3 linked regions of the Stegostoma tigrinum genome follow. The protein of the gene in region 3 purifies or fractionates together with the protein of the main gene of each other region. This does not show direct contact. Links are inferred from orthologs where the notes say so. Each region holds a gene or a part of one and is shown on either strand. Other genes may lie near its edges.

Region 1 (8,055 bases), on a different chromosome or scaffold from region 3:
GTCGCCCCCGATGACCCCCGGCTCCGTCTCCCCCAATGACCCCTGTCTCCCCCAATGACCCCCTTCTCCCCCAATGACACCCCCACCTCCGTCTCCCCCAATGACCCCCACGCTCCGTCTCCTAAAATGACCCACCCTGCTCCGTCTCTTAAAATGACCCTCGTCTCCCCCAATGAGCCCCCTGCTCACTGTCCCCCAATGACCCCCCCCTCCGTCTCCCCCAATGACCCCCGTCTCCCCCAATGACCCCCCCGCTCCGTCTCCCCCAATGACCCCCCCGTCTCCCCCAATGACCCCCCCCGTCTCCCCCACTGACCGCCCCCCTCCTCCGTCTCCCCCACTGACCCCACGTCTCCTCCAATGACCGCCCCCCTCCTCCGTCTCCCCCAATGACCCCCGTCTCCCCCAATGACCCCCCCGCTCCGTCTCCCCCGATGACCCCCCGATCCGTCTCCCCCAATGACCCACGTCTCCCCCGATGATCCCCCCGCTCCGTCTCCCCCAATGACCCCCGTCTCCCCCAATGACCCCCGTCTCCCCCAATGACCCCCCCGCTCCGTCTCCCCCATGACCCCCGTCTCCCCCGATGACCCCCCCGCTCCGTCTCCCCCGATGACCCCCCCGCTCCGTCTCCCCCGATGACCCCCGTCTCCCCCGATGACCCCCCCCACTCCGTCTCCCCCATGACCCCCGTCTCCCCCGATGACCCCCCCCACTCCGTCTCCCCCGATGACCCCCCCACTCCGTCTCCCCCAATGACCCCCGTCTCCCCCGATGACCCCCCTCCTCCGTCTCCCCCACTGACCCCCCCCGTCTCCCCGATGACCGCCCCCCTCCTCCGTCTCCCCCGATGACCCTTCTTGCTCCGTCTCCCCCATTGACCCCCCCGCTCCGTCTCCCCCAATGACCTCACCCCGCTCCGTCTCCACCAATGACACCCCTCCGCCCCCAATGACCCACCTCCTCCGTCTCCCCCAATGACCACCGTCTCCGCCGATGACCCCCCCGCTCCGTCTCCCCAATGACCCCCGTCGCCCCCGATGACCCCCGGCTCCGTCTCCCCCAATGACCCCCGTCTCCCCCAATGACCCCCACGCTCCGTCTCCTAAAATGACCCACCCTGCTCCGTCTCTTAAAATGACCCTCGTCTCCCCCATGAGCCCCCTGCTCACTGTCTCCCAATGACCCCCCCTCCGTCTCCCCCAATGACCCCCCCGCTCCGTCTCCCCCAATGACCCCCCCGTCTCCCCCAATGACCCCCCCGTCTCCCCCACTGACCGCCCCCCTCCTCCGTCTCCCCCACTGACCCCACGTCTCCTCCAATGACCGCCCCCCTCCTCCGTCTCCCCCAATGACCCCCGTCTCCCCCAATGACCCCGTCTCCCCCAATGACCCCCCCGCCCCGTCTCCCCCAATGACCCCCCCGCCCCGTCTCCCCCAATGACCCACGTCTCCCCCAATGACCCCCCCGCTCCGTCTCCCCCAATGACCCACGTCTCCCCCGATGACCCCCCCGCTCCGTCTCCCCCGATGACCCCCCCGCTCCGTCTCCCCCGATGACCCCCCCCGCTCCGTCTCCCCCGATGACCCCCCCCGGCTCCGTCTCCCCCAATGACCCCCGTCTCCCCCAATGACCCCCTTCTCCCCCAATGACCCCCTTCTCCCCCAATGACCCCCTTCTCCCCCAATGACACCCCCACCTCCGTCTCCCCCAATGACCCCCACGCTCCGTCTCCTAAAATGACCCACCCTGCTCCGTCTCTTAAAATGACCCTCGTCTCCCCCAATGAGCCCCCTGCTCACTGTCCCCCAATGACCCCCCCCTCCGTCTCCCCCAATGACCCCCCGTCTCCCCCAATGACCCCCCCGCTCCGTCTCCCCCAATGACCCCCCCGTCTCCCCCAATGACCCCCCCGTCTCCCCCAATGACCGCCCCCCTCCTCCCCCAATGACCGCCCCCCTCCTCCGTCTCCCCCACTGACCCCACGTCTCCTCCAATGACCGCCCCCCTCCTCCGTCTCCCCCAATGACCCCCGTCTCCCCCAATGACCCCCCCGCCCCGTCTCCCCCAATGACCCCCCCCGATCCGTCTCCCCCGATGACCCCCCCGCTCCGTCTCCCCCAATGACCCCCGTCTCCCCCGATGACCCCCGCTCTGTCTCCCCCGATGAGCCCCCCGCTCCGTCTCCCCCATGTCCCCCGTCTCCCCCGATGACCCCCCCGCTCCGTCTCCCCCGATGACCCCCCCGCTCCGTCTCCCCCATGACCCCCGTCTCCCCCAATGACCCCCCCACTCCGTCTCCCCCATGACCCCCGTCTCCCCCAATGACCCCCCCCACTCCGTCTCCCCCATGACCCCCGTCTCCCCCAATGACCCCCCCACTCCGTCTCCCCCATGACCCCCGTCTCCCCCAATGACCACCCCCACTCCGTCTCCCCCATGACCCCCGTCTCCCCCAATGACCCCCCCCCACTCCGTCTCCCCCATGACCCCCGTCTCCCCCAATGACCCCCCCCACTCCGTCTCCCCCATGACCCCCGTCTCCCCCAATGACCCCCCCCACTCCGTCTCCCCCATGACCCCCGTCTCCCCCATGACCCCCGTCTCCCCCAATGACCACCCCCACTCCGTCTCCCCCATGACCCCCGTCTCCCCCAATGACCCCCCCCACTCCGTCTCCCCCATGACCCCCGTCTCCCCCGATGACCCCCCCCGCTCCGTCTCCCCCGATGACCCCCCCCGCTCCGTCTCCCCCATGACCCCCGTCTCCCCCGATGACCCCCCCGCTCCGTCTCCCCCATGACCCCCGTCTCCCCCAATGACCCCCCCCGCTCCGTCTCCCCCGATGACCCCCCCCGCTCCGTCTCCCCCATGACCCCCGTCTCCCCCGATGACCCCCCCACTCCGTCTCCCCCATGACCCCCGTCTCCCCCGATGACCCCCCCCACTCCGTCTCCCCCGATGACCCCCCCCGCTCCGTCTCCCCCATGACCCCCGTCTCCCCCGATGACCCCCACCCCACTCCGTCTCCCCCGATGACCCCCCCCACTCCGTCTCCCCCGATGACCCCCCTCCTCCGTCTCCCCCACTGACCCCCCCCGTCTCCCCGATGACCGCCCCCCTCCTCCGTCTCCCCCGATGACCGCCCCCCTCCTCCATCTCCCCCACTGACCCCCCCGTCTCCCCCGATGACCGCCCCCCTCCTCCGTCTCCCCCGATGACCGCCCCCCTCCTCCGTCTCCCCCATGACCCCCGTCTCCCCCAATGACCCCCCCCGCTCCGTCTCCCCCGATGACCCCCCCGCTCCGTCTCCCCCATGACCCCCGTCTCCCCCGATGACCCCCCCCGCTCCGTCTCCCCCGATGACCCCCCCGCTCCGTCTCCCCCGATGACCCCCCCCGATGACCCCCCCCGCGACCCCCGTCTCCCCCGATGACCCCCCCCGCTCCGTCTCCCCCATGACCCCCGTCTCCCCCGATGACCCCCCCCCGCTCCGTCTCCCCCATGACCCCCGTCTCCCCCGATGACCCCCCCCCGCTCCGTCTCCCCCATGACCCCCGTCTCCCCCGATGACCCCCCCGCTCCGTCTCCCCCATGACCCCCGTCTCCCCCGATGACCCCCCCCACTCCGTCTCCCCCGATGAACCCCCCCACTCCGTCTCCCCCGATGACCCCCCCCGCTCCGTCTCCCCCGATGACCCCCGTCTCCCCCGATGACCCCCACCCCACTCCGTCTCCCCCGATGACCCCCCCCCACTCCGTCTCCCCCGATGACCCCCGTCTCCCCCGATGACCCCCCTCCTCCGTCTCCCCCACTGACCCCCCCCGTCTCCCCGATGACCGCCCCCCTCCTCCGTCTCCCCCGATGACCGCCCCCCTCCTCCGTCTCCCCCACTGACCCCCCCGTCTCCCCCGATGACCGCCCCCCTCCTCCGTCTCCCCCGATGACCGCCCCCCTCCTCCGTCTCCCCCGATGACCCCCCCGTCTCCTCCGATGACCCCCCCTCCTCCTCCGTCTCCCCCGGTGACCCCTAGTCTCCCACAGTGACCCCCCTTCTCCGTCTCCCCGGGTGACTCCCAGTGACCCCCCCTCCGTCTCCGTCTCCGTCTCCCCCGGTGACCCCCCAGTCTCTCCCAGTGCCCCCTCCTCCGTCTCCCTCAATGACCCCTGTCTCTCCCAGTGCCCCCTCCTCCGTCTCCCTCAATGACCCCTGTCTCTCCCAGTGCCCCCTCCTCCGTCTCCCTCAATGACCCCTGTCTCTCTCAGTGCCCCCTCCTCCGTCTCCCTCAATGACCCCTGTCTCTCTCAGTGCCCCCTCCTCCGTCTCCCTCAATGACCCCTGTCTCTCTCAGTGCCCCCTCCTCCGTCTCCCTCAATGACCCCTGTCTCTCTCAGTGCCCCCTCCTCCGTCTCCCTCAATGACCCCTGTCTCTCTCAGTGCCCCCTCCTCCGTCTCCCTCAATGACCCCTGTCTCTCCCAGTGACCCCCCCTCCGTCTCCGTCTCCCCCGGTGACCCCCCAGTCTCTCCCAGTGCCCCCTCCTCCGTCTCCCTCAATGACCCCTGTCTCTCCCAGTGCCCCCTCCTCCGTCTCCCTCAATGACCCCTGTCTCTCCCAGTGCCCCCTCCTCCGTCTCCCTCAATGACCCCTGTCTCTCCCAGTGCCCCCTCCTCCGTCTCCCTCAATGACCCCTGTCTCTCTCAGTGCCCCCTCCTCCGTCTCCCTCAATGACCCCTGTCTCTCCCAGTGCCCCCTCCTCCGTCTCCCTCAATGACCCCTGTCTCTCCCAGTGCCCCCTCCTCCGTCTCCCTCAATGACCCCTGTCTCTCCCAGTGCCCCCTCCTCCGTCTCCCTCAATGACCCCTGTCTCTCTCAGTGCCCCCTCCTCCGTCTCCCTCAATGACCCCTGTCTCTCTATCTCCTTTCTCCCCCCATCCCCCAAACCCGCAGTCGAGACTCTGCGCATGCTCGCTGGCTGCCAGCCCCGCTCGCGGTCTTACCGGCCGTTTCTCTTTGTTCCATTAAACAGCGCGAGCGGCGCCTCCAGTCCAGGTAAAAGCCTCTCGGCTTCTCATCTCTCCAGGACCGGGGGCTTGTGGGCGGGTAACCGGGGCTGGGCAGCGGGGAGGGACCGGCGGATGAACAAGGTCCGCTACCGGTTTGCTGTTGAATGAGGGGCGGCGCGGCTCGGTTGCCCCGGCGCCGCTTTTATTGTTTAAAAGACGAGATTGAGCTGCAGGCCCCGCCGCTCGAGATGGTGGCGCATTCGGACTAAAATTAATTAGTTTATATTGCGATTAATTCAAAATATATTGTTTAGCCAGATCTGAACAGCGGAGGGAACTGCCTGGCTTTATTGCACTGTTCGATCAGCTGTATTATTCTGTACATGTGTGTGTTTCTCACGTTAGCGCTTTCTGCGTGGGTAGCTGCTGAAGGAACAAAGCATCAATCTCTGTTTCTGCAAAGACATGTTATTTGTTAGTTCAAAAGAAAACTTTATATTTGCTGCATAGGCGATACTTTTAAATATCTCTTGTAGTGTGTTAGGAAACATCCATGGTATGTTTTAAGTTGCAATAATGCCGTATGAATATGACCCCGTTTGAATGTTTTCCCTTCCCCTTTTGTTATCTCAATAAATCGAAAAATATAGTCGTTTACAAGTTTTTGTTATGATTGTAGAGCTATCTGTTGTGAATTGATGCTGTACCCTGTTGAATATTGTTGTTTATAGATTTTCCATTTCTTTTAAGTATTTTGCATATGTGAGCCTGGAAATCGGGATGTGTTGTTTATGATGTGGTTTCAGTGATGACCTAGTTTATTATTTAAAATGCAATGTGGATGTTCATAACTAATTTCAAAGACTAGAGTTGCTGTATAGTCAGTTTCTGTTTTTTTTTATTTCTTATTTTTCCCTGACCCTGATAGCGTGAACCCAGCTAAGTAGACAAGTGTTTGAAGTTCTTAAAGACGAAAGTACAATGCTTTGAACAATGCAGTGTTGCCTCCTGCCTGGAAAGTTCTGCTCCAGACTAAGCCCTCTTCCCACATACTTCTATTAACCAACTATGGTTCACAGAAAGGGAGAATTAAAAGCAGCTCTGTTATAAGCTAACTTTGCTTCCTGTTGGGTGCAAAGGATGACATTGACAGATGCAGCCGTTCACGGTTCAGCTCATACAGCTTTCCTGTGGAGGCTATGAAAAACTTGAGTTTATTTTTATTTAAAATTTCATTTTCCTCTCAAAGATTTTGTGGGGTTCAAGAAACTGCAGACATCTCTTTCCCTGGCAAGATGGACAAACTATTTGATTGTAATAGGCTTTGCAACAGAGCCAATCTGTTCTCTTCACAAGCTAAGAATGAATAAATGGAAAGACTGGGCAATTCAGCATGTCAGGCAGATGTTTCATCAATTAACATAACAAGAATTTGGAAATTTATATAGTTTCTAAAAGTTGGTGAATGAGGACAGAGCAGTGATAGGGGTTGAACAAAGTGCAAAGTGATAGTGATTATGAGTTGGAATGGTGACCATCTATCTACCTGTTGATCTCACATGGAAGTAATGATCTTTCTCTTTCTCATCTTACACATGTGGAAGATTTATCTACAATTGAATCCCTCCAGATACAGATTTTCAAAAATGTGGTGAACTTTACATAGGAAGGACAGCCCCTGCAGCGATACAGTGTCCTTGGGTTGCTATCCTGTTGAGCTGGTAAGAGGCATAAGCTTAAATCACGAAAGCAGCATTTTTAAAAAGCACTGCTAGCTGACCTCAGCCAGTCAGTTGTTCTGACAGAAAAGTGTAGGTTGTGTTTCAAAACATGATCAATTCTGCATAAAATAAATGAAAGATGGAAGTATATCATTCTTTGAGCAGAAGGCTGAGTTAGGGCAGCTCTTCTGTGTGGTAGAGTAAGCACTTGCTTCAAAGTGGAGAGGTCATACAGGGCAAGCTTCAGAGCCACTTGACATTCAGATCTGCCAACTTCATTTGGTCTGAACTTTTATCTTGTCAATTGGACTGTTTAATTGGAGGGATGACTCAATGAGAGATGGGAGAAAACACTTTGTTTTGTTCTAATTTGTTTGTAAGAGTACATTGTAGATATATTTTCTCCTTAAGATTGTTATTACTCTTTTCCAACTCACCAAGTTCCTTTGTAGAACTAGCTACAGTATTTCCTTCAGCAGGAATTGCCAGTCTGAGCTCAGATGCAACTTGGTCTGACGCTCCCTGCTTGTGACTGTGTAAAGATGCACTGAGTATTTCTCAGCCATCCCTAAGCAATGGTAGCTCTTGGGATTGGCAGCTGTGTGGACTGTAATTCAAGCCTGCATTGTGCATTCGCATTCTTATTGACTAGTGTCATCAAGGCACTAATATTTTGATGGATTGCTGGGAAGTTCATTGAAGTCGCTACTTCCTAAATGGCTTTGCCCCTCTAGCCCATAAGATGAAATTTGTGATGTGCCCAGTAGGACAAAGAGTGAGCTGTGGAGAAAACTCTGTTAGAGCACAGTACAAAAACAGAAATTGCTGGAGAAACTCAGTAGGTCTGGCACCATCTGTGGAGAGAAGGTGGAGTTAACGTTTCAAGTCCCTCAGACAGCATCTTCCAAATTAGAAGGAGAAGGACAGCATCTTAAAGTTCCCTCCGAGCCACTCACCATCAACGTTCCTTCACTGTCACTGGGTCAAAATCTTGGAATTCCTTATGCATTGTAGATTAACCCACAGCAGGTGGACTGCAGCGGTTCAAGAAGGCAGCTCACTACCAGCTTCTCAAAGGCAACAAGGGATGGGCAAGAAATGCTGGGCCAGTAATGCCCACATCCCAAAAATGAATAAAAAAAAGTCCAGTGACCCTCCCTCAGAAACAATCCGTGATTTCATTCCAAATGTTCAGCCAGCAACAGGCATTTGTATCAAATCTTAAACTTCCAAGGCGTCAGACAACATTTGACATGTGTTGAACTCGAGTTTGTAAATCAAGAAAATTTGAACAACTCTTCACTGCTTTTATCTTTCAAACCCATA
Region 2 (7,463 bases), on a different chromosome or scaffold from region 3:
GTCAGGTTTGTGGATTTTGGGAAGGAGATAGAAGTGGGCGGTGTGGCATTGGGGAACGATGAGGTTGGAGGCTGTGGGATGGAGGTCACCTGAGGTGATGAGGTTGTGCATGGTTTGGGAGATGATGGTTTGGTTGTCGGGGTGGGGTCATGATCAAGGGGGCGGCAGGAGGAGGTGTCGAAGAGCTGGCACCTGGCCTCGGCAATGTACGGTTCTCCACAGGTCTCGGCCCACTTATTCCGGACTGCCACAGGACTTGACCACTTGCTCTGGTCCTCCCTGAGTCTTGGTCATGCTTGCTCCGGTTTGCCGTGGGTCTTGGCCCACTTGCTCCAGTCTTCCAGAACTCCACACAGGGGGACGGGGAAAGGGGTAAAAGACCTGGCCAGCAGAGGTATTCCAACTATTCCTACTTTGCCGCCATATTGGACTCACTTGGGATGGGCAATAAACGTTGACCAGCTAGCAACACCCACATCCCGCGAATGAATACAAAAAAAAGTGTCTCCTAGCTTGTTGTGGTTGTGTGACCTCTACCATGAGACACTCCCTGCAGGCATTCATCTTACAGTAATTTCAAATAAAAGAAGGTACAAGCCAGATTTTGTTCCGACTTGTAACAATCTTCTCAATAATGGGGAAACAGAGATTTACAGTTCATGGAGTCATAAGAACAGATACGGACCCTTTAGTCCAATTTGTCCGTGCCAACCAGACACCCAATCTGACCCAGTTCCAGTTGCCAGCATTTGGCACATATCCCTCCAAACCGTTTCTATTCATGTACCCATCCAGATTCAATTTCTGGATCACAACATCACAAAATGTTGTAAGTTGATGTGATGTAAATGGACTTGATAAAGTTCCAGGTAACAGGCCTGTAATCAAAGTTGAAGCCTATGGAATAAAAAAAAAGTAACAGCATGGACACAAAGCTAGCTTGAATGACAGGAAAGATTAATACTGTAGTGGTGATGGTTGCTTTTTGAACTTGAGGAAGATGTGCACTTGCATTCCCTGGTTGGTATTGAAGAAGTGTCTAAAAAGTTTAGTATGAATTGTCACAAATGCATAAATGACTGATTTAAAAGCAAGATCATTAATTTGCTTGACTTAGACCGCTAAGATTTTTAAAAAGCACCAGGTTCATTTAATAAACAAAAAGACTTAAACTTATTTATTTTAACAAGTTTATCCTTTAACAAGTGGCAATTAATCACTACTGTACAAACTTAAACTATACCCCCTTTAAACCTAAACACTCAATATTCTTTCACAAGTAGGAGGAGACATATCATGGGTAGGGAACATAAGGGAAAAGGAACAAATTCTGTGGATCAAGACTCCAAATGACAAAAACGCAATAAGATAACTTTCTCATAGTTCTTTTGGTTTTTGGCAATGGTATTGCATTGTTGTTGACTGTGGTGATCTCCAGTTCAGTAGCTAGTCAGTTGGATTTAAGTTGTTACTTGAGTTAGAAGCTCTATTTTCAGCATCTTTAGTGCTTTATTTATCCACTCAGAGCAGACAGCAAAAGATCTGTATTGCACATCCCTTCTTGGAAGTTTTAATGCCACTGCGCCTTTCTCAGTTCTGTGACACACCGCAACTTCAAACAAATCCAAAGTACTTGGCGGACAGTGCTTTTTGAACCCAAAGACACCTGGTGCTAGCGAGTCTCACAAAGCAAATAGCAACAGACATTTAAGGAGGCATTTCATGACTTGCAGCAAAATTATATCCCAGTAAGGAAAAAAAATTCTAAGGGGGGATAAACTAACCATGGTTAACCAAGGAAATTAAAGAGAGCACAAAGATGAAAGAAATAGCATTTTGAAGATAAAAGTCAGTGATTGCCCCGAAGACTGGGACAAATTCAGAATCACCAAGAGGACTAAAAAATAGTAGAAACAGGAAATAAACAATGAGGGCAAACTAGTAAGAAATACAAGAACTGACAAACAGAGCTTCTTTAAATACATTAGATGAGAGAGTTCAAAGTGAACATGTCACCCTTAGAAAATGAATCTGGCAAGATAGTTATAGGGAACAAGGTAATGGCAGAGGAGTCCAACAGATACTTTGCATCAGTGTTTACAGTGGAAGATATTCCAAAGTGCTATTAATACTAAAGGATATGGGGGAGGAATTAAACACCATCATTAGAGAAATAATATTATGGAGCTTAAGGTAGTTAAGTCCTCTGGCTCTTATAGCTTGCACCCTAGGATCTTGAAAGTGGTTACTGCTATGATATTGGACACATTGGTTGTAATTTTTCAAAAATCTTTGGATTCTGGGGGAGAACTGGAGGATTAGTAAACTGCTGTGACATCTCTATTCGAAAAGTAAGGGAAACAAAAGGCGGGTAACTATAGGCCAATTAGCCTAATGTATATTGTTGGAAAAAGGTTGGAATTGATTATTCAGGAAGTTATACCAGCATGTTTGAAAAATCATAATCTCATCAAGCAGAGTCAACATGGCTTCACGAAAGGGAAATCGCGCCTGACTAATTTTCTAGTTTTCCGAGTGTCTCAACCAAAGTGTATAGAGGGAAACCAGTAGAGGTACAGGTAGTTCTGCCATAACGCTTGTTTCGCTGATGTGAATTGGCTGTCACGTGATTGATGAACGGTGGACACTGTTTGGATAACTCAAACTTTCTACTGTATAGTTTAGCGATTTTGTATAACGATTTCCCTATAACATGACTTTCCAAAGCGATTTTCTATAGCGCAAACTCATGTTGGACTTTCGAGTTCTTTTTCCTTGACTTATTCTAAGTTAATGTGATTGGCACCATGTATGTATGGCGAAGGTGAACACTTTTCACTGTTTTTACGTTGAATACATGTGAGAATAAATGATTCAATTCAATTCTTTCACATGAGATCACACAAGCATTACAGGAGAAATAACTGTTGCGTTCAGACTTCTGGAAGGTGTTTGACAAGGTAGTTTAAACCCACCAGAAAAAAACATAATCTATAATTGAGGGGAATGATGATTTAAGATAATGTTAGAGTCAAGATTTTACATTATGAAAAGAAGTCTTTCGGCCTCTTGGTCCAAACCAACCATCTATCTATTCTCATCCCATTTTCCAGCAGTTGACCCATAGCCTTGTTTGCTGTTGCATTTTAAATGCTCATATAAATGATACTTAAATGAGTGAAGAGTTCCCACTGCTACTATCTTGTCAGGCACAGAGTTAGATATACACAACCCTGAGGGCAAAAACCTTTTTCCTTAAATCCCCTTGATACCTCCTATTGCTAACCTTAAAACCATACCCAAAGCCAGCCCAGTTCGTCCCCTCCCCCCACTGCACCACAAAACCAGCCCAGCTCTTCCCCTCCACCCACTGCATCCCAAAACCAGTCCCACCTGTCTCTGCCTCCCTAACCTGTTCTTCCTCTCACCCATCCCTTCCTCCCACCCCAAGCCGCACCCCCATCTACCTACTAACCTCATCTCACCTCCTTGACCTGTCCGTCTTCCCTGGTCTGACCTATCCCCTCCCTACCTCCTCACCTATACTCTCCTCTCCACCTATCTTCTTTTCTCTCCATCTTCGGTCCACCTCCCCCTCTCTCCCTATTTATTCCAGAACCCTCACCCCATCCCCCTCTCTGATGAAGGGTCTAGGCCCGAAACGTCAGCTTTTGTGCTCCTGAGCTGCTGCTTGGCCTGCTGTGTTCATCCAGCCCCACATTTTATTATCTTGGATTCACCAGCATCTGCAGTTCCCATTATCACTCACCCTATTTTCAAACCGTTCTTCTAAGGAGAAGTTATTCCTTAGAGGTTTGTACGCCTTAATCAAATGCCTCCTTCCCCCTGAGGAAAACAACTCAAAACAAAGAACTGCGGATGCTGGCAATCAGAAATTGCTGTAAAATCAGCAGGCCTGGCAACATTTGAGAAGAGAAAGCAGAGTCAATGGCTCGGGCTTAGCGACCAGTTCCGTTCTGAAGACTGGAATTACTTTCTCTCCGTTATGCTGCGTGGTTTACTGAGGTTTTTCAGCAATTCCACATTTTCCCAGCCTTGATTCGTGCAATTTTAATTTCATTCCACAGCCATAATCTCTTTACGCTGGCAGGTATTGGACGAAAAAGACGGAAAAAACATTCCCACCCTCACCTGACGCAGCATTGGGCAGAAACACCTACGGCGAAATTTGGAAAGCAAGCCGCCGCCGGTAACCAAGGCGACGGACTGTACCCATGTTGACGTCGCATCACCCCATCAGGCCGGCTGGCCCAGCGATTGGCCGACCCACATCTCGTGTTTGCGGCCAACACCAACGGACGCCGCTCGCGCCACCGCTCGATCAACACGCGCACCGGATGGGGTGAGGCCACCGGGTCACGGGGGCGGGGCATGAGGAAAGGGGGCTGGCCAAGATGGCGGCGGCGGCAGTGGAATTGCGAAGAGAAATGATAATGTTGGGTTAAAGTAACAGGAACCTAAACTGAGATACAGGAAAACGTAACCCTCTTAATATCGGAATCCCTAGCATTCGACCCTTAAAACAATGGAGGGTGAGGATATATCGTTTGAGAATATGGACCCCTCACTGAGTGAGCTCAGTGAGGGGCTGAATTTTGGGGATATTGATGGTGAGTTAATGCTTTATGTTTCCTCCCAAAATGTATGTTAGTCTGTTTAAAACCAACGTATACAAATGATCATTCTGAATGTACAATAGGAATGTTAGGAAATAGGCTGGATGGAATTATGTGTAGAATCTTATTATTTGTGTTAACAAAAACAAAGTTGCTGGAAAAGCTCAGCAGGCCCGGCAGCATCTGTGGAGGAGAAGACAGAGTTAACGTTTTGGGTCTGGTGACTCTTCCTCAGAACTAGATCCGAAGCGTTCACTCTGTTTTCTCCTCCACAGATGCTGCCGGGCCTGCTGAGCTTTTCCAGCAACTTTGTTTTTGTTAACACAAATAATAAGATTCTACACATAATTCCATCCAGCCTATTTTCTAACATTCCTATTGTACAAAGTTGCTGGAAAAGCTCAGCAGGCCCGGCAGCATCTGTGGAGGAGAAGACAGAGTTAACGTTTCGGGTCCGGTGACCCTTCCTCAGAACTAGATCCGAAGCGTTAACTCTGTTTTCTCCTCCACAGATGCTGCCGGACCTGCTGAGCTTTTCCAGCAACTTTGTTTTTGTTCCTGATTTACAGCCGTTCTTTTGATTTTTACTTATTATTTGCGTAATTGTTTCCTTTGTTTACTGTTAGTTACCATCACTACTCATCTGATATTTGTTTACTAACTTTTGGTTATTGCACTGACAGTAAATTGTAAAATGTAGAATGGAGAATGTGATCTGTGTGTAAAATCTGTGATATCAGAATCATGATAATGTGGTAACTTGTAAAATATTGTGATAACAGAGCCTCTCTGATTCTTATTCACAACAGTGTGCATTTATATCTTTAACATAAAATATCCCCTGCTGTGCTGGGCATCTGGTATTAAATGAGCAAAAATTACTTCTTGTTAACTGTTCTGGACATTGAAGCAATCATCATTAGATCCTGCTTTAAACTCCATTAACTGATCTTTTTTTTTATCTCTGCCTGACAACTGTCTGAAGCTGAACCAAATTGCCCACAATTGGGGTGTCCGGTTTGGCCCTGAATTTAACTTCAGACTACATCTTCTCTCAGACTTTCTCCTGAGAGTCGCCAACACTATATGCTTCCTCCTTCTCAACATTGTCTATTTCTGCCATGGCCTGTGCTCAGTTACTGAAAACCTCATCTGTACTTTTGTTAGTTTTAGATTTGCCTATGCTAGTGATCAATTGGCCAGCTTTCCATCTTCCACACTCGATGTACTTAAACACATCCGAGTTCTACTGCCCATGACTTAACCTGCACCAAATGCTGTTCATTTGTCATCTTGCTCTTGCTGCAGTACATCAGTTCCTGCTTTGGCAATTCTGGATTACAAATACCTCATTTCCTTTCAAGGTCTTCAATTATTGTTGCTTGTTTATCCCTATTTCCTTCACCCCATTATTGGTAGCCATGGTTTCAATAATTTATCCTATGTTCTGCAGTTTTCATCTGAAGCTGATCACTGCATTTGTCTTTACCGAGGGCCTGCTTAAAACCTGCCTTTTTGATCTGGTTTTTGTCTTAAATCCTGCTTCTTTGACTTGGTGTCAATATTTTGTCTGAAAGTGCTCAATGGAATATTAAGCTAAATCAAAGCTACTATATAAATGCCGTTCATTGCTATTTGGTTGCTTTACTCAGGAATGATCTATCAGTTTGATACCAAAAGAGAACATTTTGCCAGATGCTGGCTGAAATAATGGATTTTGAAGAATGAGTAGGTACTGGCATTTATGGCAGAATCTAATGATTTTGGCTTTGATAGTCCAAGTACTTAATTGAAAGAAATTTTTTCTTATACAATTGGAATTCTGTTCATCAAATACAAAATAAATAATTAACCTTTTGACTTTTTTAAAAAAGAGATCCACTCTCAATTTTATTTTTATTACATTGCTAAGTTCATATATTTCTTCATGTCAACTAACCTATAAAATACAGGACAAACCAACTTATTGATAGACTAAAACCCTTTTCATTTTATAACCTTTGCCCATTTGAAGGATGCCTTGAGGGCATGAAAGATATTAAGTATGTAAGTTTTTTTTGTGAATTAAAGTCTCTGATCATCTTTGGAGAAAATATTGATGGGAATTGGCAGCACGGTGGCTCAGTGATTAGCACTGCAGCTTCACAGTGCCAGGGACTTGGGTTCGATTCCAGCCTCGGGTGACTGCGTGTGGAGTTTGCACATTCTCCCTGTGTCTGCGTGGGTTTCCTCTGGGTGCTCCGGTTTCCTCCCACAGCCCAAAGATGTGCAGATTAGGTGGATCGGCCATGCTAAATTGTCTGTAGTGTTCAGGGGTATGTGGATTTTTGGGGGATGGGGATGGGTCTAGGTGGAAGGTTCAAAGGGCAATGTGGACTTGTTGGGCCAAAGGGCCTGTTTCCATACTGTAGGGAATCTATTCAAGAATGAGGTGGAGTAGCATGGGAGGAGGCTCCGGAAAAGCATGTAAACTGACACAGACTAGGATGGTAACTTTTCTGTGATGGAATCTGGTCTGTCACCTTGAAAACAAACCAAACTCCATCATCAGCATTAATAAGGATATATCACTTGGTTTACTGTAAAATTTGATGGCCACAGATTAGCATCTGTTATAGTCATAGTATTACAATTTGTTCTCGCCTTTGAGCATTTGCTGATGCAAGCCATGTAGTCAGCTGTAGCTCAGTTGGTTGCACTGTTGCCTCTTATCACAAATTTATGGGCTCAAGTCCCACTGCAGCGGACTTGATTACAAAAATACTCAGGTGGCCTTTTCCACAGATTGAAGATGAGAGACTGAAAATGTTTATCCTACTCTTCCTC
Region 3 (7,076 bases):
CATCCTGCCTACTAGCTCCCTATTGTCTTGTAAGTGAGGTAAATTTAAGATTGCTTCTCACAATTTAAACATTTTCTGGGTGATGTTTGAATTTTACAACTAGACACCCCTCTTGTCCAAGAGAGCACTTCAAAAACAACTGAAGATGCTGTAAATCAAAGAACCATGGAAAACACTGCTCATTCTTTTTGGTAGTTATGTATAAACAGGAAATCTGGTGAAGGAAAAACTATACACCCATGACTTTTTAGTTTTTTTTTAACTTAAATAGATTATTTCTTGTGGATTTTGAATAATTTATTTGTGTTAGTTTGCACTCGGGTATATATTTCTCATTTTCAATTTCATAATTTTCAATTTGTTGATAAGCTGCAGACCATTAAAATTGTGGTTAATCTTAGGAGATAAAAGGGTTAAACTAATGTGGTCCCTTTTTTAACACAGTGGATGGTACAGATGGACATTTAAATAGGACAGAATATGGGGAAAGTAGTCATTCTCACAGACATACCCCCCCCACCACCACCGCACCTTTGAATAAAAATTGCTCTTTGGCCACATTGGCCATTTCTCTATTTTCTTCTGAGAAAAGGTTTATGGCCTGAACAATTGACTATATTTCTGGAATTCCTAGCAGATGGCTGGATTATTTCTATCCTCTTCTGTTTTACAGATGGCTAAATTCTTCAATTGAGAGCAAACTCTCTCAACAGCTTTAAATATTTGCAAGTTTCAACTATAACTGTGGATTAAATCTTGTTTCTTTCCCAAACCCTACAACCAGTTAATGTTGCCAAGGTTTGCAGAGAGTTAAAACTTCTGTAAGTGTGCATTTTACTTTATAAGTTGAGATGGTGACATTTGTTGTAAAAGACAAACCAGTCTCTATGTAGGTTGATTGCGAAAGGACAATTTTCTGACCAGCTTCTTCTATTACCAAGTGACTTGCTGGAGAAAGAATTGAGTAAAATAGAATGGAAAATTTCTCCTTGCACAGAAGGCATTAGATCGGGACTCTCTTGCTCTAGCTGATGGTATGATTATGGCTTATCCACATTGAATTTTTTTTGTTTCACAGGGTTGCAGGCAAGTCCATTTCTGGCAAAGAACCCAGTAAGGCCTTGTTCTTAATTAACTATCTTTATTTAAATAAACTTTTAAATAAGTGAAAATGCCTTGCTGTTTTTTGAAGTAATGGCATTCTGTTTTCTTTTCATTTGAGCTGTCAGAAAGGGTCTGATCATGCAGCATTCCCTCAGTACTATTCTTATGTCAACTTAGGTTATCTGGAGTGAGATTTGAACCTGTAACCTTCAACCTGATGTAAAAATGCTGCAGCATTTAGACTTCTTTTGAGACCTAGAAATCCAGTTAAGACCATAGAAAACCTAAAATAAATTGAGGTTAAGTACTGCATATTTAAAATAGGGCTCTATTTACTATTTACCCTGCTTGAGTACTTTAATACCTTGGCATAGGAGAAGGGTGAGAGATTCAAGGGTGTAAGTGACCCTATTATTTTAACTGCTCCCACAGTTTGTCTTTGGGTTGATTCTCTGCCTATCTATAATATCAGTCACACCAGAGGAAAGGTGTCTAGTGCCTCCTCTGATGGGAATTTTAGGTTCGCTCACTGCTGAGGTATCTGGCACATAAAATGTTCAGACTATACATTAGGATCAGACATACTGATCTCTGAGAAGTTGGACATAGGGCCTATCTTGGATGTGGGTCAGGTTAGGCTAATGAACAAGGTCCAAAAGTAATTTATTAGCACAGGTCAAATGGTGGTGCCTTCATTTGCTTTGAATATTACCATAAGGTGGAAGATGGCTATGCACCCAAATATTTTTCATTTGCTGTGATAATCTGAATGAAATGCCTGGCAGGATGCTCAAATCTCTATCCTAAGGAGGCTTGCAAAGAAGCCAAGAAGGCCATACGTTATCAAATGTGGGAATCACTAGCTTACACTAGAGTAAATTTGCAACACCTCCAATGGGTTGGCTTGCAAACCTACAATGACTATAGGCAACACAAGTCAATGATGCATGCTACAACTAAAACTGCAACAGCCTCATGTGATGTGTTTGTGCTCGCCTCCTTAGCCAATAACACTCAATCTGAATTCAATAAAGCAAAATACTACAGATTAAGTAAGGCAAATCAAGGCAGGACTTAGGTCCTGGGAGTGTTGCTGAATAAAGAGGTCTTGGGGTGCAGGTTCACATCTCTTTGAAAATAGAGGCACAAGTGGACAGGGTAGTGAAAAAGCAAATGGTGTACTTGCCTTGAGTATTGGATTCAAATCTGGTCTTCCTGCTGTAGGAAAGAGATTGTTAAACTTGAAAGGATTCAGAAAAGATATTGCCAGAATGGGGCGGGGGGAGGGGGGCGCGGGTGGTGAAGAGGGGGAGCTGAATAGGTTTGGTGTATTTTCCTTGGATCGTCAGAGTCAAGGGATGAACTTACAGGTTTATAAAATCATGAGGGACTTGGATAAGGTGAAAGCCAAGGTCTTTTCCCTGGGGGTGTCCAGAACTAGAGGTCACAGGTTTAGGATGAGAGGGGAAAGATTAAAGATAGAATTGCAACATTTGACAAGCATCTGAGACAAAATCTGAATTGTGTCTGAGATAATGTTATTTTTTAGGGATGCAGTAGGGGAAGGGGAGATTTTGAAACTGGTGAAGTCCACATTGATACCATATTTTATTTTTTAGGGATGCAGTAGGGGAAGGGTTAGGGTTAGGGTTAGGACTCTCTGATGAAGGGTCTAGGCCCGAAACGTCAGCTTTTGTGCTCCTGAGATGCTGCTTGGCCTGCTGTGTTCATCCAGCCTCACATTTTATTATCTCTGAATTGTGTCTGTTGCCTGTGTACCATCTTTCTTGGAACTTTAAAACTGATCCTTTTTGCATCAGAGTTATCAGTTTGGAAACGTTAGTCTGCTTTTTCTGCGAGGATGCTGCCTGACCCGATGTGATCTCCAGCATTTTTGTTTTCAGTTAGTTTGTGAGAAATACGGGATCCTCGTGAAGGTCTAAATCCAAGAGAGGCCCCTTCAGTTATAGCTACTAACGCATTACGACTTTAATGTTTTTATTGTTGTGGCAGTTGCCCTAAGCTGCTAAAGAACTTAACGTAAAATTTATTTGCTACACTTATGTTGCCACCTCTTACCTCCTTTAAGATACTTAAAATTTGCTTATTTGACCTCGCTTTTGGTCATCTAATATTTGTCTTGGGTAAGTGTTATGTTGTTTGATAATGCTTCTGTGAAGGGCATTGAAACATTCTTCAATGTTGAAGATTCCATAAAAATCAAAGTTTTAAAATAACTATTCCGTCAAATAATAGTCAATGTCTAAGAAAAAAAATACAATGTTTCATCTTCGACTCCAGACCATCCAACACTCGAGGGAGACCGACTCGTTGCTTCGTTTGGAGATGAATGTACGTTTCAATCCACAGCAGTCATAAGATGTCTAAGCCCTTTATACAATCTCAGCTTGTGCTACCGAAAGGGTATCATTTGAAAATTGAGGCGCGACTTTGATTATTTGTACTTCCTGCCCACTTAATTTAGGAAACTATTTTTGTAAATAGATATTTTGAGAAGTCCTAAGGCTATCACATTTTACAATTGCCAACAGGAAGCGATATTAGTATTTCGAATGGCGTTAAACGTGTTAATGTAATTTGGTTCCGTAAATGTCGTGAAATTGTATTACACGTTTAATAATATAGTTATTAACACGTAAATATTACAACTCATTCACAGCTGTAAGCTCCGTGCGCATGTCCATTTGATAGTAACCCCACAATGCATCAGGAGCTCTGATGACGTAATGTACGTTCGGCCGCTTGCTCCCTCATTTCTTACGGAGACGGCCAATCCGCAGGCGGCGGACGGATCACGCGGAGTCATCATCCTCCACCCGAAGCAGGGTTCGGGTATTTCCGACCAGCTACTAAGGTGCTTTCGGCAGTTTTCGTATACTTGGCTCCGCCTCCCTCATCCTTCCTCCCCTCCCCTTCCCCCTCCATCGGTGGACGGAACGTCAGGAGGAAAAAAAACTTTAAGATCAACAGCCGCCATTTTGGTGGAAAATTTCATCCGAAATTTCGGAGGAATTGAACGGCGTCGGGAGCTGTGCTCGCTGTCTTGAGTATTCCTCAAAACCCATATTCGGTTGCGAAATCCACATAGCCGTCAAATTATTGCGAGTCCGGGCGCCTTCAAACGGTGGAAAAGCGATAAGAGAAAGGGGACCGGCTGAAGGGGAGGGGGGAGGTGGTGTTTAAAAATCCGTATCCCCTTCGCTCCGCCGTACCAAGTCTTTGGGTGAAGTATTGTTTTCATCGGCTCAGCCGGCAGCGGTCTGGCGTCAGTCCCCGGCCTGGTCCCGGTCCTGGCCCTGGCGCTATACCGAAAATGCGGCCTGACTGATCGGCTCGATTTTATGTTTTTTCCAACTGCATATTAAAGTGAAGATAGGGGTTGGACAGCTTTTTTGTTCCCTGTGTGAGGGGGGGAGTGGAATGGCGGAACAGGGTGTCGCGTTAGGGGAATGGCGCTGTGGCTGAGGAGGAGCGGGCTCTCGGTGCTAGTCAAAGGCCCCAGGGCCTGCCAGAGTCGCTGCTGTGTCCGTCTTTATCCCGCCCCCTCACCCCCCTCACCTTTCATGTTCATTAGATGAAACTAGCTTGAAAAGGGAGGGGGGAACGATTTATACGCATACACACGTATAAAATATATATATAATAAAATGGCCGAGAACCTACTGGATGGACCGCCGTCAGCCAAACGGCCCAAACTCAACTCGCCGGCGCTCTCTGCCAGTGACAGTACAGGTAAGGAAGGGACATCGCCTCGGACAACCGCGGAGTATAAGTAGTTGCATAGCTGCCCAACACTCCTCTTTGTGGATGGTAAATAGGAATGGAGTGCGTATGTTTTGAAATTGAGGATTTTGGCAGAAACTTAAAACCGTGTTTCTTTTGGTGGGGAAGGTTATTGATAGGTTTTGTTCCTTCCTTCACTCCAGCTCCCGATCCCGCAAAAGTAAAACTAGCAGTGTTTACGATCGTTTATTTGGGAAGGTTTGAGCCAGAATGGCTCAGTAAGGTGTTGAAGATCATTAGATGTTCTGAGATATTGTATATTTAGAGACAAGTAAGAAGGAATTATATTTGAGAGGATATTGATTGGTGTAAATCTTCAGCATTGGTTACGAAACTCATTTCGCACTTTTTATGTTCGATCGTTGATAGATTTGCACCATAATTTTCGCGTGAGCAAATACCAATAAAATTAGACCTTGGTTTCGGTGTGATGAAATAAAGTTTGTCTCGCACATTTGTTTAAAGTGTTATAACATTTGAGAAATTAGACTAGTGGTGAATTTCGCTGGTAGAAAGCATTTCGTTTAAACTAATGGAATACGTAATAAAGTAGAATAATATTTATCAAACGTCTGCTGATTAAATATTTTTTAGTCTTTCAACTGACTTGTGACAGGTGAAATCGTAATTTGTTAACTTCACGTAAAAATGTATAACATGTAAGATTGCAGCATTTGTTGGAAAATATGCATCTGATACTGTGTGTAAACCGTGCATGTGTCGCAAGTAGCAGACGTCCGTATTTTGGGCATTATTTTGTAAATAGAAACTTGTAGCGGTGAATTGCGTTAAGGCCACTATAGTTGGCGGAAGCCCAGGGATTTATAACACCTCCCTGTTACTGTCCCGTGGATCCTGGTGAGCCAAGTGATCAATGTTATTGTCAAAATCTTAATAATATTTGCAGCTTACCGTCAGGTATGCCAACATTTAACGGGAGAGATGCAACTAAAATGCAGTTGCCTGTGCAATTTACGTATTTTTCGTTTTGCGATAATTTAATGAGTATCCCAACTGACACTAGACTATATTGGAAGGCAATAATAATTATCGACAGTTGAGTTTATGGGTGAGATTTTTAAACTAGTATATTATACTATTAATTCTGCAGTAGTGGTGTTTGATGTTTGCAGTGAACAAATAAAAATAAAATGAAGTGTTTACTTTGGTAGACTATTTACCCCATTGGGCCATTAAAATATGTGAACAAATGAATATTTTAAGCTCTACTTTCATCTTTTGGCAATTAATTGTTGTCGGATGCTACACCTGTGCACATGTACAATCACTGGGTGGTGGATACTTTGGCGCATTCTGTCCTTGAAGCTTGAACTGCAGCATATGATGTTTTAAATTATGCAGCATCACATTGAAGAAACATAGGTCATTTGTATGTTCACAGACAGTTGTGCAAGTTGTAGAGTATCATCACTAAGGTTTGTGAGACCAAGATTTAAGTAATCATATTATTTCCTGACCTTTTTACCTTTGGAACTACCCCCACTGCTGTTGTATAAAGTCTCTTTTCACAATGTGCAGGCCTGTGTTTTGGCTTCTAAGACTGTTACAAGTCATTGTAAATGTTTTTATTGGAAACATGTTTGAAACACATTACACACTTCAGAAATGCTTACCATTATAACAAATAAGGATACTTGTATATGTATGAGGGTTTAATAAGTTGCACTGGTGATTTGCTAAACAGATTATTCTTCTTAAAATAGCATCAGGCACTGGTCAAATTTAGTATATTCCCTACAAAAGGTTTTGGCTTGTTAATCAGTATTTACTATGATGCCAATATTTAAAATGCAATTGTTGGCATAAATGATCTCAAACTTCTGCAATTGTATGAGAAACAATCAATTTTTTTTATTAAAAGTGGCTATTTTCCGAACTCCTTTTAAAATTAGAAACTAATAGACGTAGCTAATTGCCACACAAATCTTGATATATTTGGAAGTTTGTTAATAAAGATTAAGTTGTTAGAGTTGGTTAACTGTTAAAAACTTAGCAAGGTATTGCTCATTAAATAGGATTTTAAGAATACATATTTATGTATTGTATTAAATTATGCCTCCGTGTTGTGTTCATCTTTGGGTAGATTTTATCTTTAATACAAAATGCTTATAATATGTGAATAGTGCACTTTTACTAATCAAATGCTA

The links. The genes of interacting proteins can lie anywhere in the genome.
Region 1: the proteins of crebbpb (region 3) and smarca4a purify together in Homo sapiens (affinity purification with western blotting; 3 studies listed by BioGRID, with this or other methods). This does not show direct contact. The link is inferred for Stegostoma tigrinum from reciprocal best matches to the Homo sapiens genes CREBBP and SMARCA4.
Region 2: the proteins of crebbpb (region 3) and srebf2 purify together in Homo sapiens (affinity purification with western blotting; 3 studies listed by BioGRID and IntAct, with this or other methods). This does not show direct contact. The link is inferred for Stegostoma tigrinum from reciprocal best matches to the Homo sapiens genes CREBBP and SREBF2.

What each region holds. Positions count from the first base shown.
Region 1 is NC_081388.1:12,627,724-12,635,778, forward strand, and holds the start of smarca4a (SWI/SNF related, matrix associated, actin dependent regulator of chromatin, subfamily a, member 4a), read left to right. Parts: upstream 1-4,964; 5' UTR 4,965-5,054; intron 5,055-6,612; exon of another isoform or gene 6,613-6,729; intron 6,730-8,055. UniProt on the Homo sapiens protein: ATPase involved in transcriptional activation and repression of select genes by chromatin remodeling (alteration of DNA-nucleosome topology).
Region 2 is NC_081391.1:4,387,225-4,394,687, forward strand, and holds the start of srebf2 (sterol regulatory element-binding protein 2), read left to right. Parts: upstream 1-4,372; 5' UTR 4,373-4,546; coding exon 4,547-4,631; intron 4,632-7,463.
Region 3 is NC_081376.1:32,962,590-32,969,665, reverse strand, and holds the start of crebbpb (CREB binding protein b), read left to right. Parts: upstream 1-4,025; 5' UTR 4,026-4,772; coding exon 4,773-4,857; intron 4,858-7,076. UniProt on the Homo sapiens protein: Acetylates histones, giving a specific tag for transcriptional activation. Mediates acetylation of histone H3 at 'Lys-18' and 'Lys-27' (H3K18ac and H3K27ac, respectively).